Saccharomyces cerevisiae S288C: one gene and its partners. The gene in region 3 interacts genetically with the main gene of each other region. Each region holds a gene or a part of one and is shown on either strand. Other genes may lie near its edges.

Evidence for each region. A genetic interaction does not mean that the proteins touch.
Region 1: mutations in CMG1 (region 3) and HSP33 together harm fitness more than expected from each alone (negative genetic interaction), as found in Saccharomyces cerevisiae (one large-scale study listed by BioGRID).
Region 2: mutations in CMG1 (region 3) and YCL049C together harm fitness more than expected from each alone (negative genetic interaction), as found in Saccharomyces cerevisiae (one large-scale study listed by BioGRID).

The regions. Positions count from the first base shown.
Region 1 is NC_001147.6:1,077,622-1,082,415, forward strand, and holds HSP33 (glutathione-independent methylglyoxalase family protein), read right to left. Parts: upstream 1,638-4,794; coding exon 924-1,637; downstream 1-923. Other genes in the region: FEX1 (fluoride transporter), read left to right, coding at 1-290; phosphopyruvate hydratase ERR1, read left to right, coding at 2,655-3,968.
Region 2 is NC_001135.5:38,863-44,019, forward strand, and holds YCL049C (uncharacterized protein), read right to left. Parts: upstream 1,863-5,157; coding exon 924-1,862; downstream 1-923. Other genes in the region: YCL048W-A (uncharacterized protein), read left to right, coding at 2,626-2,865; SPS22 (Sps22p), read left to right, coding at 3,303-4,694; POF1 (nicotinamide-nucleotide adenylyltransferase), read right to left, coding at 4,799-5,157.
Region 3 is NC_001144.5:680,805-687,109, reverse strand, and holds CMG1 (Cmg1p), read right to left. Parts: upstream 4,374-6,305; coding exon 3,549-4,373; downstream 1-3,548. Other genes in the region: condensin subunit YCS4, read left to right, coding at 1-3,438; DCS1 (5'-(N(7)-methyl 5'-triphosphoguanosine)-(mRNA) diphosphatase), read right to left, coding at 4,872-5,924; SNAP receptor SEC22, read right to left, coding at 6,266-6,305.

The DNA of each region.
Region 1 (4,794 bases), on a different chromosome or scaffold from region 3:
CCACTTTATTGATTGGCATATTTACCATGGTGCAACGTGGTAAAAAACACTTTTCTACGGACGTTCCAATTGTGAACTCGTTGAATTCATGTCATATTGTTTCTGCGTTAATATCCGGATTTTGCGGCACTTTGAGTACCATTAGCACGTTTATCAATGAAGGGTATAAGCTATCATTTATTAACATGCTTATTTATTATACTGTTTCGATTGCAATTTCATATTGCTTATTGGTGATAACTCTCGGATCCTATGCTTGGACTAGAGGATTGACCAACCCGATTTGTTAGGATCTTTTCTTTATACTTTTCCCTGCATAATCATCCCACTTTTTTTTTTTTTTTTTTTAATTCATTTTCAAGATTTTAGACGTTGTATAATACATTTTTACCCACTACTGCGGTTTATTGTAATATTTTGTGAGATTTTATGAATGCGTTCCATCATCTATTTACTACAAAACGATAAATTTCCCCGTTTTCTTTTACTTTTACTTCATTTAATATAATTCATATTTATTTCCCATGTACCAATTAATTACTCATAAAAAGAACAGAAATAGAAAAAAGTTGTATATAACAAGCCAAAAAAAAGAAAAAAAAAGGAAAAAAAAGAAAACACAGCTTATTTCAAATTGCAATCTGCGTATTTCGTAAGTAACGAATGATCTCACAGCATTGCTTTTTTTTTTTTTTATATATATATGTACATTACCTATGTCACATATGACCATGATGAATACAACACTAAAAACCAAGGCCTACTATTCAATTGTTCTCTATATGATTTCCATTCTAGCAAAATCGAGTGCTACCGACCTGCCGTTTTCTTTACCTTTCGAACCATTGAGCTGTTAGCCTTCTCTTCACAGAAACTGAAAGTCATTAAAAGCCTCCCCTTCAACAATTCCCTTGTCTTTTGTTTCAGCTATATAATGCGTTTATAGCTCTAATTGTGGTCGAATAGGAAGAATTTGCGTTAACACCCGTAACTAGCTTTCCATCTGTAATAGAGTAGTCATCCCAGGGATGGATTGGCGCCAAGTACTTGGCTCCATTCTTGTTTGCAACGCGTTCAACCGTTGTCAATTTTCTGCTCCTCAAGATGTCGTCAACTCCCAGGGCGATTTCACCCTCGAGTGGGAAACCTGTTATAGCTTTGCCTTCGATTAATGGTCTTGTTGTTTTGATATCTATTAATCCATCGAAAAGGAGCGGTCCATGACAGATGGCAGCGATCACACCCCCATTGGCATATATCTTGGATGCAATATCTTGCAGATTTTTAGCTTTGGGATAGTCAAATAGAGCACCATGTCCAGCAGATGCAAAGAATACTTTATAGTCGCTGGCGTTGACTTCATTTGCGGTCTTGATCCTCGCTAACGCCTTATTGAAGGCGGAATTTTTCGTTTCAAAGTTCATCTTATCTTCGCCACCAATAAAGCTCTTTGGCAAGTAATGTTCATCCCAGCCAAATCCACCAGTCTCAGAAACGAAGTCCACTTCGAAACCATGCTTTTCGAATGTATCGAACGATCGCAAAATCTCAACTACAAAAACGCCTGTTTTCGCACCATCTTTGTAGAAGGGACCGTGGTATGAAGTAAGAGATATTAGCGCTCTTTTTGGAGTCATTGCAAGGCCAGTTTTCTTTTTGAATGAAGGAGAAAAGTGTTCTAGAAATATGTTTTAGTTCTAAGTATCGTTGTCTGGAGCAAGCAAAGAAAAGCAGACCTGTATGTGCAACTTTCCTGTTTTCCATTAAAATCTCAAGAACCGACCCCTTGACTGTGCTCATATATCAAGTATCGGTTTTAAAGTCCCCTAATTGTGATAATTGCAAGAACGACAGTCAGAAAGATATTTTTTTTTTTCTTTCTCTTTACCTATCCTCCATAAAAATACCTATGCTGATACTGAATATCTTCATTTGCAGCTATGCAATATTTCAGATACCCCATTTTACCCAAGAGTTTCTTACTGGTGGTTGGATTTTCTTTAAGACGAGAAGATTACCAGTCCTGGATGTTCGTGAATGTGCCTATTGCGTCATCAGCGACTCCGCGCCAAGAAAAGAAATACTCGCATGCTCGGATTTATAGAATCGCATAATGGAAATACCTTCCTTAAAGGATGGAGATAAGGAAAAAATGACAAGAACAAGGAAGTACTTGGGAGCTTTCTCCGACATGGTAAATATTTGAAACTCACGCAGCTCTCCTGGAAAGTTGGATCTGGAAAGGTAAGGTTGTTTTTTTTACAGACATCAACCAAAATCGGTTCTTGTAGTAGACAATGTCACAGATCGCCACAAGTTGAAAAAAAAGTTTCGATGAACTGGATAAGGGGAGAGGTCACAAACAAAGTGTAGGGGGTGAGTAGTATAGTGGTAACTTGTTCATTTACCTAAATAACATTCTCACTAGAAAAGAGATATTGAAAGACTCCTCGTTTACCTAACTTGGCTGGTTCTTAGGTATATAATAGAAACATGGATCTGGCAGGTTATCACTTACAGTTTGCACTCCCACCAGGTTACAATTTTCATTATATATAGTTATTTTTTACCACCACTTCTTCTTCTTTCACTTTGTCTTGCAATAGAAATACCAAAACAAGGTGAGGAAAAAATCGAATCTCAACGATAAAAATATGTCCATCACGAAGGTACATGCTAGAACGGTGTATGATTCTCGCGGCAATCCGACTGTTGAGGTTGAAATTACAACAGAGAATGGTCTCTTCAGAGCGATCGTCCCATCTGGTGCCTCCACCGGCATTCACGAAGCTGTTGAACTTAGAGACGGGAACAAGTCCGAATGGATGGGAAAAGGGGTGACCAAGGCAGTCAGTAACGTCAATAGTATCATAGGGCCTGCTTTAATCAAGTCCGAATTATGTGTAACCAATCAGAAGGGCATAGACGAGCTCATGATATCGTTAGACGGAACTTCTAACAAGTCAAGGTTGGGCGCCAATGCTATCCTTGGTGTTTCCTTGTGCGTTGCTCGAGCTGCTGCCGCACAAAAGGGAATTACTCTCTACAAGTATATAGCCGAGTTAGCGGATGCTAGACAGGACCCCTTTGTTATTCCTGTTCCTTTTTTCAATGTTTTGAATGGTGGAGCCCACGCCGGTGGCTCTTTAGCTATGCAAGAATTCAAGATCGCGCCAGTCGGGGCTCAGAGCTTTGCAGAAGCCATGAGGATGGGTTCGGAAGTTTACCATCATTTGAAGATATTGGCGAAGGAGCAATATGGACCTTCCGCTGGAAATGTTGGTGACGAGGGTGGAGTTGCCCCCGATATTGACACTGCCGAAGACGCCTTGGACATGATTGTGGAAGCCATTAACATATGCGGTTACGAGGGTAGAGTGAAAGTAGGAATCGATAGTGCTCCTTCTGTTTTTTATAAGGACGGGAAATACGACCTAAATTTCAAGGAACCGAACTCTGACCCATCTCACTGGCTCAGTCCAGCCCAGTTAGCAGAATATTACCATTCATTGCTAAAGAAATACCCAATCATTTCCCTGGAAGATCCCTACGCCGAAGATGATTGGTCCTCGTGGTCTGCCTTCCTAAAGACTGTCAATGTTCAGATTATTGCAGATGACCTGACATGCACCAACAAGACCAGGATCGCCCGTGCTATAGAGGAGAAATGTGCGAATACTCTGTTGCTGAAACTCAACCAGATCGGTACTCTGACTGAGTCTATTGAAGCCGCCAATCAGGCTTTCGATGCTGGATGGGGTGTAATGATATCGCATAGATCAGGTGAAACCGAAGATCCGTTTATCGCTGATTTGGTCGTTGGTTTAAGATGTGGTCAAATTAAATCGGGCGCTTTGTCGAGATCAGAAAGACTGGCCAAGTATAATGAACTTTTGCGTATCGAAGAGGAACTGGGGGACGATTGTATATATGCTGGTCATAGGTTTCATGATGGAAACAAACTATAAAGGATTGTCTTGTTTCCTTTTTTTTTTTTTTTTTTTTGTTTTTTTATGACTAAATAAAGTAAATCATATGAGGTTTTATTTTTTATTTCGTTGATTTGGGTTACAGTATGGAAATGGGGCATTTGACACAAGTTATTTTATTCATATGTTTTATCTTGTAGGAAATCAAACCGTTTTTAAAGTTTTCCATTGCCTACACACAAAATCATTACGAATCTGTCTGAACAAGGGTGGACGTGTGGGGGAAGGCTGTTCCAATCAAGAAATGCTTACAACTCTACTAACACTGCAGTTTTTCAGCTTTCTGATTAATCTCTTCGGTTTAAATTTTTTAGCAGCTATTACTTTCTAGTAACCCTTATAACGCGGTTGGTATCAAATCTTCCTGATAGTACAAGCAGACCTTTGACCCCATTCTTGTTGTGTCTTGAAATCTTTTTTTCTGACAAAAGTAAGAAGTTACACCATAATAGAGAAGTTAAATAATGAAAGTGTATCGATCATAGAAATGATTTTATTTTTTTCAACTACTGTTACGGTCAAGAAACTAATACTGAGGATAAGTTTTCGCAACAATGATTTTGGTACAAGTGATTTAAAGTCTTGAATTACTTCAACACAATTTGCTTTGCGACGGTTTAGAATAACGTAATCGTATCAACGAATCCACTAGGCGCGCGTAAAAATTACAGACTCTAACAATATACGACTCCCAGCACATACCTACTATTCTGTACAATTCCGGGAAATAGGAGGGTACAGTATTATTTTTTCTCGGCGATCGTTTAGGGTATACTGGAGATAGGCTTAGCAATACGCTTCTGAA
Region 2 (5,157 bases), on a different chromosome or scaffold from region 3:
CAATCTATTGTCTTTTAAGGTAAACTTTAAATTGGAAATAATAGTAATGTTAGTTCCTTCATTTTAACCTTGTATTGTATTTCCTTTGCGTGATGAAAAAAAAACTGAAAAAGAGAAAAATAAGAAAATCTTCTAGAACGTTCCGAAACAGGACACTTAGCACACAAATACAGAATAGGAAAGTAAAAGGCAATATATGAATGCAGTGCTTGTAACTGGTGCTTGTATCCAAGAATAGCTTCTTGCTGTAGGTTATGGGAATATCGTGTAAGCTGGGGTGACTTTTGAGCTATTCGCGACGCCCGACGCCGTAATAACTACTTTCGACAGACCACTTATGACAGTATTTCAGGCCGCTCTTATAAAATGACATGTTAACAAACAGTTCTGATTATTCGCCTTTTGACAGGACGATAATGTAAATAGTTGTGGTAGTATCATTCAGGTATGTAACTGTTTACTTTGTATCGCTTGAAAAAAATAAGCATTTCAGAGCCTTCTTTGGAGCTCAAGTGGATTGAGGCCACAGCAAGACCGGCCAGTTTGAATGCTCAACTCTTCAAAAGAAATTCCTCAAATATGTCCAGTTTCATGTACTGTCCGGTGTGATTTATTATTTTTTATTTACTTTGTAGTTCTTAAAGCTAAGATTTTTTTCTTTGATAAATTCTTGTTTTCATATCCTAAAATTAAAGGGAAAATAAACAATACATAACAAAACATATAAAAACCAACACAATAAAAAAAAGGATCAAATACTCATTAAAGTAACTTACACGGGGGCTAAAAACGGAGTTTGATGAATATTCACAAGATAAAAATCATATGTATGTTTCTGATATATCGATATACAATCAAACACTTTCAAGAATTTGTTTGTAGACTTTTTGCTAGAGACCTCATCAAAGTGCTACCAACTAAGATCAACTTATACTTCTTTTAGAGAAAATTTTTTTCAATGTACTCCAAAGAGATTTAGATCCTGTCTCTTCCTCTTCCTCTTCCTCGAAAGTCAAAGAAAAATCAGAGTCTCCCTGCTTATTCAGGCGGAGAGGCTCTAGGGTAGTTGCGTTTCTCTCATTGGGACACTGAACCTCATTTTCCAACATTTTGGTCATGTAAGAGGCGACAGGCTCATCGCAGGTGGGTGCATCAACATGGTAGTACCTGGACCAAGCGCTACATTGAGTCCCTCCTGGATAAACACCGCTACAATATTGTCTTTGGACGTTTGCCCAAACCATATCTTTTGAATACCAAAGCTGGACCACATTGTATGGCCTAATCATTGGTGCTACCATAATACTGGATTGGGAAACAGTCTGGTTAATTTTTTTCAACCAATTTTTCTTATCTAGCAATGATTTAATAAACCTGAAATCTAAATTGTCTTCGTTAGCGTCTGTGTCATAATCTACAATTGAGTACTGTGACGTCCAATTATATGGCACCGAGATGGGGAATCTGTCCGGTGTTTCGTCGCTGTTATCCTTCTCCTCCCTCCAAATGCAGTCAGAGGCAGGTGCCCATTCGGTTCGCCAGTCTCCGTTATTTACTACTTGGTACTGTTCCCAATCGTAATACGTTTCCTCTGGGTTGAAGATACTTGCTCTGCTCTTGACATTGCCCATAGCCACACCACGAGAAACATCGTGGAAGATTACGGAGCTGTTTACGATAGCAGGAGCAATGGATTTGACGAATGACACTTGATAAAAGTCTTTGGTCGAAAATACAGTATCAACGCCGTCGTGGGACTCGACCCCTGGTAGAAGAAGCAGAGCATCTAGATCAACGGTAGATGCTGCAGAGGTCAAAGCCACAAAGAGGGAAGATGCAGTTACGAGGTATTTACTAAACATTGGTTCGAAGTGATTACAGATTTTTCTCTCTTGAACCCTGGAATTGCAATAGCTTGGTTCCTATTGGGACCGGACCCTCTTGCGTAAAGTATATATTTAGAAGCAGCTATTTAAATCTGAATGCAAGACGAAAAAAAGCTCGTTTATAGGAGAAAAATACCAAAAAAAGGAAAACCATACACATTCGGGTATCCCAGCTTTGCTTGCAAAATCAATCGATGAGCAAGACAAACAGGGCCAGCTGATGCATATGTTTTGTGTTGCTTTCCTACGATCAGCTAATGCGAGTGTTATAAATATTCCCCTAGTTTTCTTCTCCTCCTTTATGTAACAATAACTTGTGGACTTCCCCAACATAAGACTAAAAGCAAAGGGATAACAAGGGATTTATCTTATTCCATCCCTTTGCCTAGCGCACTGTTACGCAGCTGATCTTATCAACAAGTGTGGTTCTTGCCTCTAAGATTTACATTGCCTTTTCCCAAAGGGAAGGTGGGACAAAACTCATTTTCCCTAAGGGGAAACGTAAGATACCCTTTAGGGAAGATAAGGGAAGTTAGTAGATTGACGACGTAAATCTGTGATGAGATGAAAAAAAAAGATTAGCATCTATATAAGAAAGTACATAACCTCCATTTAAGTTGAAAAAAATTTGTATGTAATGTCTTTTCTTCCTCTTTTCTTTATTTCATTCTCACCGCTAAATCGATAACGGCTAAAACAATTAAAGCTCCCTTTTCAAACCTTATACTTCCGTTAAATAATGCAAATCAAAAACATTGTCGCTGTTCTAGCTACAGTCACTGCTATCAACGCCCAAGTTGGCATTGAACCTAACGCCACTACTCCAAATGCTACGCAGCCAAATGCTACGCAGCCAAATACTACTCTTCCTACCGCTTCGGTGACTACGACAGTTTCGATTGGCGAAGCCGTAGTTAATACCATGGCGGCGGGTGCCTTTGGAGCAGCAATCGCTGCCGGTGTTGCCTTCTTATTCTAGGAACATTTTTATTTCCTTTATTTTTTTCTTTCTTTCTAATTCCATAACCGTTGTTCAAAATTGGGGAGCTTTTTAACTTTCGTTCCATTAAGCTTTTTCTTTGTTCTTTACGTTTGATTCTATTTCAACCATAATTTATTTTTTCGTTATTTAATAATTACTAATATTTAATACTAGATGTATATACGTTGTGTGTATGCGCTACTATAGTATAGCTTAACTGTTTTATTATACCCTTTTTTTCTCTCTTTACTGTACAGAAGATGCGTCACTAATTCAAAAAAAAAAAAAAAAAAAAAAATATAAAAAAGAAAGATTTTGGAGAAGCTATATCCTTTTGTGACATACAATAGAGAAACTTGTTCTGTTGGTAAGATATCTCATCTGAAATACAACAAGGAAAACCAAAAGCCATTTTTTCATTACTTGATCGACTTATGAACCGTATTACTAGGAAAAGTTGTTTATTCGCGATTATATTTGCATCATTATTTGTGACACATGCATTGGGTGCCGCTATTGATCCGCCAAGGCGACCACATAATGTGAAGCCTTTTCATAACGGTAATCTCGAACTTCAAAGAAGAGCAAATGAACCGTTTTTTGAAATAGATGTCAAGAGTCTGAACACAAACTCACCGATATCAGAGTTGTGTAAAAAAGATTTGCACGTCATTGAATCGTCTCATGATCTTTTTCATTTACAAAACCAATGTGAATTCATCTTGGGGTCATTAAAAGTCACAAACTATGATTCTAACATTTTGGATTTGAACAGCTTGAGGGCCATTGGTGGTGACCTGATTATTCAGGATTCACCTGAACTGATCAGAATCCAAGCCGGGAACTTGAATAAAATCGAAGGGCTCTTCCAATTACAGGGACTAACCTCTTTGGTTTCTGTTGAAATTCCAACTTTGAAATTTTGTCAGTCACTGGAGTGGAAAGTTGTTCCCATCTTGAACTACGTCTCCATGGATTCTCAGAATATTGAGATTATAAAGGATATTGTCATATCGGATACTTCATTAGCAAACATCGAGAATTTCAACAAGGTTCAGGAAATTGATACTTTCAATATCAATAATAACAGATTTTTAGAAACTATTCATTCGAACGTTAAAACCATTAGGGGACAATTCAGTGTACATGCGAACGCTAAGGAGCTAGAACTTGAAATGCCACACTTGAGAGAAGTGGAAAACATAACGATTAGGGACACATCATTGGTCTACCTTCCACAATTAACAAAAGTGAAAAGCTCTTTAGAGTTCATCGAAAATTACTTTTACGAATTGAACCTGAACAATTTGCAGAAGATTGGTGGAACATTAGGAATTATCAACAATGTAAATTTAATAAAAGTTAATTTGGAGAACTTAACAGACATTCAAGGTGGCTTGATGATCGCCGATAACGAATCCCTCGAGGATATTACTTTCCTGCCAAACTTGAAGCAGATTGGAGGTGCTATTTTCTTTGAAGGTTCGTTCAAAGATATCATGTTCGATAGCTTGAAACTGGTGAAAGGTAGCGCTTTTATTAAGAGTTCATCAAACGTGTTGGATTGCAATAAATGGACAAACCCATCAAATGGAAGATCAATCATCAGGGGTGGGAAATTCACTTGTATTTCTGGTAAGAAGGAAAATACGCTGAATGTTAAACAGGATGGTACAATCATAGAAAAAGGGTACAAAGATTTAACGCAAGAAGGTGAAGACTCCAAGAAAAGAGTGATTTCAAAATACGCGAACTCAGCAAATCCAAGCATGCAATTGGACCCCCTTCTTTTTGGTACATGCCTTGTTGCTATGTTATTGTTTTAAGATTACTAGTCTAGTATAACAGAAAGTTTTTTTTGTTCCTAATATTATCTTTATCTATATACATATATCTCCATGAAAGGCATTTGAATTTCTATCTTTCTCTTTCAATCAAATATTGTCTTATTATTGATCAAATAATCGTATATGCACAATGGCAACTCGTCTTTCAAACTCTCCACTTGCCCATTCTTCAGTTTGTTCCTAATCTCGGATGATGAAACATTTCTTAATGCTGGATAATCATTTTGCATAACATGAATCCTAGCGCCCCATTCTCTTGGTATTACCGGTTCGAATTTTCCCTCAAGGATGTCACTGGCGTATCTTAGTTGCGATTCAGCACTGAGATGGCAATCGCCTCTCGCCAAGCAATATAATTGAGATCCCGACATGAAGCTCTCCATTACATCACTGATTTTTAAAGGATGATAATATTTTTCATCAAAGATCCTAGCAATTGTAT
Region 3 (6,305 bases):
AATGTTATCATAGACCAATTGGCCGTTTCACCCGAACAAATAGATGCTAGTCCAGATTCACTAGAAGCATTAATAGATCTTTGCCATGACTTCCCGCACTTAACACCGAAATTACAAACTCAACTAAGCTATTTGATAAGTTCATCTCTGTCGAATCTGTCAAAAGATATTAAGGCTAATCTCTCATCAAATGTTAACTTTACTGAAATTGGTGGCCTGATACCGCAGTGGAAAAGGCATTTAGAAGAGTATGGCTACCTTATTCAGGTACTTTTGACGTTTTTACAAGATGAGTTACATAAGGTCTCCTCGCAGTCTACCAATCTAAACCGTTCTGCCAAAAACAGTAAGAATGATAGTGCAAACGTCGAGCTGTTTAAAAGAGACTGTAATCAAATGGAAAACTTGCTTGAATCTATAACAAAGCTACTGGAGATTAACTTATCTAAGATATTTCAGACAACTCCTGAAAAGGATTTGTTTATTGGTTTGTTCACAAGACCATTATTTGTGTTATTAGAGATTGAACCTGTGACGAAGGTATCATCACTAAAGATGTTTATTCAAAGGATTTTGGCTATGTGTGTTAAAAATCACGGTCAAAGTTCAAGTATACAAAGTTCATTGATGACAAATTTAACTTATTTTCTTCATTTGTCGGTTTTTAATGCAGAATTACTAAAACTATTGAATGATGAATATAACTATCCACAACTAACAGAAGATATCTTGAAAGAAATCAGCACCAGGGTATTTAACGCAAAGGATACCACAGGCCCAAAGGCAATATCAAATTTTTTGATTAAATTATCAGAGCTATCACCAGGAATAATGCTTCGACAGATGAATCTTGTCATCACCTTACTCAACAATAGTTCTATAACATTGAGATGTTCCGTTGTAGAAGCATGTGGAAATATTGTGGCTGAATTGGCTCAAGACCCACAAACTATGGAACATTATAAACAACAAATAGCCGTACTTATTGAGTTACTAGAAGAAAGATTCCAGGATTCAAATCCCTACGTTAGAACGAAGGCGATACAAGGGTGTTCAAAGATCTGCGATTTGAGTTCGAAATTTAACAAAAGCAAAGCTAAATTTACTTCGTTGGCAGTACGATCATTGCAGGACCGCTCCTCTTTAGTTCGTAGGAACTCAGTAAAGTTACTTTCAAAATTATTGCTAAAACATCCTTTTAAGGCCATACATGGTAGCCAATTGAGGCTGAGTGAATGGGAAGAATATCTCAAAGGATCTGAATCACAGCTAAATTCCACTTTAAAGAAAGTAGAGTCACAAGAAACTCTGAATGACACGATTGAAAGGTCTTTGATTGAAGAAGAGGTAGAACAAGATGAAGGTCAATGTAGGACCGAGTTAGAAGGTTCTTTCAATAAGAGCGCAGAACTTTCTAGAATAGAAAATGAGGTAGAGAATATAAATGCAACAAATACCAGTGTTCTCATGAAGCTAAAGTTAATGATTGTTTACTATAAAGATGCCATTAGTTTCATTAAAGAGATACACAAGAGTATTGAATTGATATCTAATTTGCTGTTTTCTAAGAACAGAAACGAAGTTTTAGAATCAATGGACTTCCTAGTTTTAGCAGACGCTTTTGACATTGAGTTAAGCGAATTTGGTATAAAAAAAATGCTGCATTTGGTTTGGATGAAGGGCACAAACGATGAAGGAACGAGTATATCAGTACATTTGATAGAATGTTATAAGCAGCTATTTTTAACCGCGCCAGATAGTTGCAATATGCAGGAGAAGGCGGCACATATTGCCAAAAATTTAATTAATCTAAGCATCGGCGCATCTATTGCAGACTTGGCCTCTTTGGAACAGCTATTAGGAATGATGTATGAACAAAAATTGATTGATCAACATGTCATTAATATCCTTTGGGCTATTTACAATTCTGCATCGAAGGCCAGTATGCAGAAAGAACAAAATGTGAACAACCGTGACTCCGAAAAAGGGTTTTCTAAGGAACAAATTCATGGTTCTATTATTATTTTAGGAATGTTATCGTTAGCCGATAACGAAATAGCATTAAAAGGACTGGAGTCACTTTTAAACATTGGACTTGGTGCCGTTGGTTTAAAAGATCTGACCCTTTGTCGGTATTCTTGTTTAGCGTTAGAGAGAATGGTTCCCAAGAGAAGCACTATTATTACCAAGGCAATAAATCAAGAGCTTGAAGATGTTGCAGTGAAAAAGTTGTATGCCATAATTATCAACTATACCAAGGATAATGAATATTATCCTATGTGCGAACAAGCGCTTAGTGCACTGTTTACAATCTCTTCTAAGCCCGATATACTAGCTACAGATCTGATTAGAGAAAAGACAATGATGACATTTGGTAAACCTGAAGAGGAAGACTCTATTTTGTCGTTAGAACAATCATCTAGAGTTGTTTCTCTCAGTCAATTATTATTCATTGTAGGACAAGTGGCAATTAAAACACTTGTCTATCTAGAGAAATGTGAGGCAGAATTCAAGAAAAGAAAGATCGAGGCAGAAACTCGGAACGGTAAAGTAAAAAACCAAGGTGCAGATGTAACTAACACCACACAAGATAACGGTGGTGATAAAGAGCTAGAAATGATAGGAGGTACTAATGAGGACGATTTCACGGATGCTATTCAATTTGTAAAAGAGAATGAATTACTATTTGGAGAAAAATCTATATTAGGGAAGTTTTGCCCAATTGTAGAAGAGATTGTTTCTAATTCAAGCAGGTTTAGCGATCCAATGCTTCAAAGAACGGCAACCTTATGTCTAGAAAAACTAATGTGTTTATCATCAAAATATTGTGAAAAGAGCCTGCCGCTATTAATCACAGTAATGGAAAAATCTCCTGATCCTACTATTCGCTCAAATGCTGTCTTAGGACTAGGTGACATGGCAGTATGCTTCAACAACTTAGTAGACGAAAACACAGATTATTTGTATCGCCGTTTGCATGATGAAAACTTAATGGTACAAAGAACATGTTTAATGACAGTTACCTTCTTGATTTTAGCTGGACAGGTTAAGGTTAAAGGACAATTAGGAGAAATGGCCAAATGCCTAGACAATCCAGACCAGGGAATAAGTGATATGTGCAGATTATTTTTCACCGAGTTAGCATCCAAGGACAACGCCATTTATAATGGATTCATCGATATCTTTAGTAATTTATCGTCAGATGATTTATTGGGTAAGGAGAGTTTCAAGAAAATCATCAAATTTCTGTTAACTTTTATCGATAAGGAACGGCACCAAAAGCAATTAAACGAGAAATTAGTTGGAAGACTGAGAAAGTGCGAGACCCAAAAGCAATGGGATGATATTGCATTCGTACTAAACAATCTACCATACAAAAATGAAGACGTCACTGCATTATTGGAGCAAGGTTTCAAGGTTGTATCCGCAAAAGAATAATCGAACTGACGTTTACCCGTTTCTTCCGTTTTATATTATATGTTATTATATAAATAAAAGCTGTTCATTTCTTTCTTCTTGAAATATGACTTTACCTATCTCGATAAAATTCATTTGTGGTCGTCTTCATTCACTCCTGGGCAATGCTCGTAGAGATCACCTTCATCCTTATACTTGATTCCGCAAAAAAAACAGTAGTACTTCTCGGACCTCAGGAATATATTCAATTTTGTTATTCTTTTTTCAATGCTCAATTCTTCTAATTCAGCAAGTTCTGTGTCTTTTGTAATGCGACTACCGATAATTGAAGTATCACAATCTATTAATGTAGAAGGACGTCCAAACTTTTCACCTTTTATTGCAGGCGAAGCCTCCAAACTTTCATTTACCATTGGTATCATATTATTCTTATCTTCATTATCATTGTTACTGTGATTATTTAGGTCATTTTTTGCTACTTCCTCATTTAGTTGCATAACGTAAGATCTCCAAAGTACGTTAAAGTCTCTCGGATCTTCGCCTGGATTGTATAAATCGGAATCACCCATCATTTCAAAAGCAACTTTTTGGATCCTATACCAAATTTTTTTTAACCGCTTATTATTTTTCATTTCACTTTCTCTTTTTATAAATCGTTGTTCACTCATCTGCATGTCATTCATTGTTGATGGGTCGGGCTTTTCTGCACGAATTCCCCTCCTTTTTGTATTGATTTCTACCTTAATAGGCTCTTTTAGGGCACTTTCATTACTACCTAATGTTTCTCCTTCTTTGTAACCCATGTTTTCCATCATTTTATAACCCCTGGGCATGATTGAACGTAGTGATGTGCGTGCAGTTTCGTCATTTGTTGAATCTCTTTTTGACTTCTTCTGAGGCGGTGTATTCTTCAAATCTATGCGATCCTCTTTTCTTTTTGTCTTACTCTCCTCCATTTTATGCCCTCCCTGAAAGTGATGGTAGATGTGTAGCGTACCTCTTATTGTCCGTCCTCTTATTCTGTAATTCTTAAATTAAATTCAATCCAGTAAATATTACAATTGAATTGATACCTAATTTTTTCTATTGACTATATTTCAGAGTCAACGTGATCGTTCTAACTTTCATTATCGATTATAGATATTATTCTCAGCAGTGGAAATCTTTTTATCTCAACTCGTCACCACACAAAAAAATGGAGACAGGATCCGGAAGACTCAGGAGGATAGAGCAACGTTATTGAACAGTGTTTTTAATTGTTTCATTCTTAGTCTTTAATTTATTTACTTTAAACCGACGGTTATATAGTACGTATTCTATTATTTTTTAATCACAAAATCTCAAATAGGCATGCCTTATGTTGTTGTGAAACTAAGGTATATAAAACAAACAACTTTCAAAAAAAGAAAATGAGAGTAGGAAAAAGGTGGATGATGTGAGAATTTTAACAACCTTTATTTAAAACCGTTCACAATCTTGGGTATTTTTGGGATACCATCTCTTTCCAATTGTTTAGTGAGTTCTTCTTCCAGACCCCTTTTCCACAAATCATGATTTTCACCAATAGCGTAGGTGATTGTCTTGTTCATGTAGCCTTCTGGTCCTAGATAATTTAACATTTCAATGATGTCTTCCAACAAGATGGCCTTGCCCGCGGCAATACTATTACCTAAACCGGGATGCTTTATGTTAACGATGTGAATGTGGAAATGATAATAAGAAGGTTGGTAGTGAACCAAAATTCTCAACTCATCCGGATGGACAGCATAGTTGTAACAACCAGGAACAATGGATCTAATCTTGTTGTTCAAGTTGATTAACCACTGTCTGTCAGAATATCTTAAATCCCTTATTGTCTTGATATCGGTCCTGTAGACGATCGCAACTAGATATAAAGAGTCTAAGTTCATGCCATCCCATTTCATATCAGGTAAAATTAGGAAGCCGTCGTCCTTATTCTCCTCAGAAAAATCTTTATAAACGACCCTTTCTGACTCAGCGCCTTCATAAAGAATGTTGTTTACCCATTTAAGTCTACCGTTATTACACATTTCTTCGATGTAAGGCTGAACAATTCTCTTGTACATCTCAGGAGTCTCTCTGACTAAATGAAAGTTTTGTTGTTCATATTTCTTGATATGAATTGGAGTAGCAGGCCAAATTAAATTCAACTTGGCGGTAGGGTTCGACTCCATATCCTGCTTTATCACTGACAAACCCCAGTAGTAAATATCATTGGAAGTAATCTCCTTTAATTCCTGAATTCCGTTGATGCAAGAATATTCGTTTTCACAATTATATAAAACTGGAGTGGAGCGGCCATCTTGAGAGGGTCTTCTCACGGTTTCGTCAAATAGAAAGTGCGTCTTTTCAGCCGTGATAATAGCATCCTTGTTGTCAATGGTTCCCAATAAGGACATAACTTTGGTTTGAGGGTTGGAATCGAGGACACTAACAAATTGGAATCTCTTGATCAATGAAGCAAAATCTGTTGGCAGTTGAGACATGGTATATGCTAATTTTGTCGTTTCGCTTTCTTTTTTTTTCCAGGAATTATAACTTAATACTATGTGATTATTTAGTTAATACACAGACAGTTAATAGAGTAGTGATGGCAATTCGATCATCCAAAAGAGTTGGAAAGCCTCTTTTCCTTCGATATATAGTGATGATATCCTTGAAAAGACTCCCTAAAAAGTGCAGGTGCGGCGGGTCACCTGCCAGCTTGCCTGAAAAATACGTAATTATGTCAAATAAATTGCCATACTATACTAATACTGAACTAGACTATGTTATACACTTGGACCAAATTGATCGGGATTTGTGATGTGGGATGATGGGGTGACGTCTATTTGAGGAAGATCCACCAGAAGAGAAAGACGAAAAAG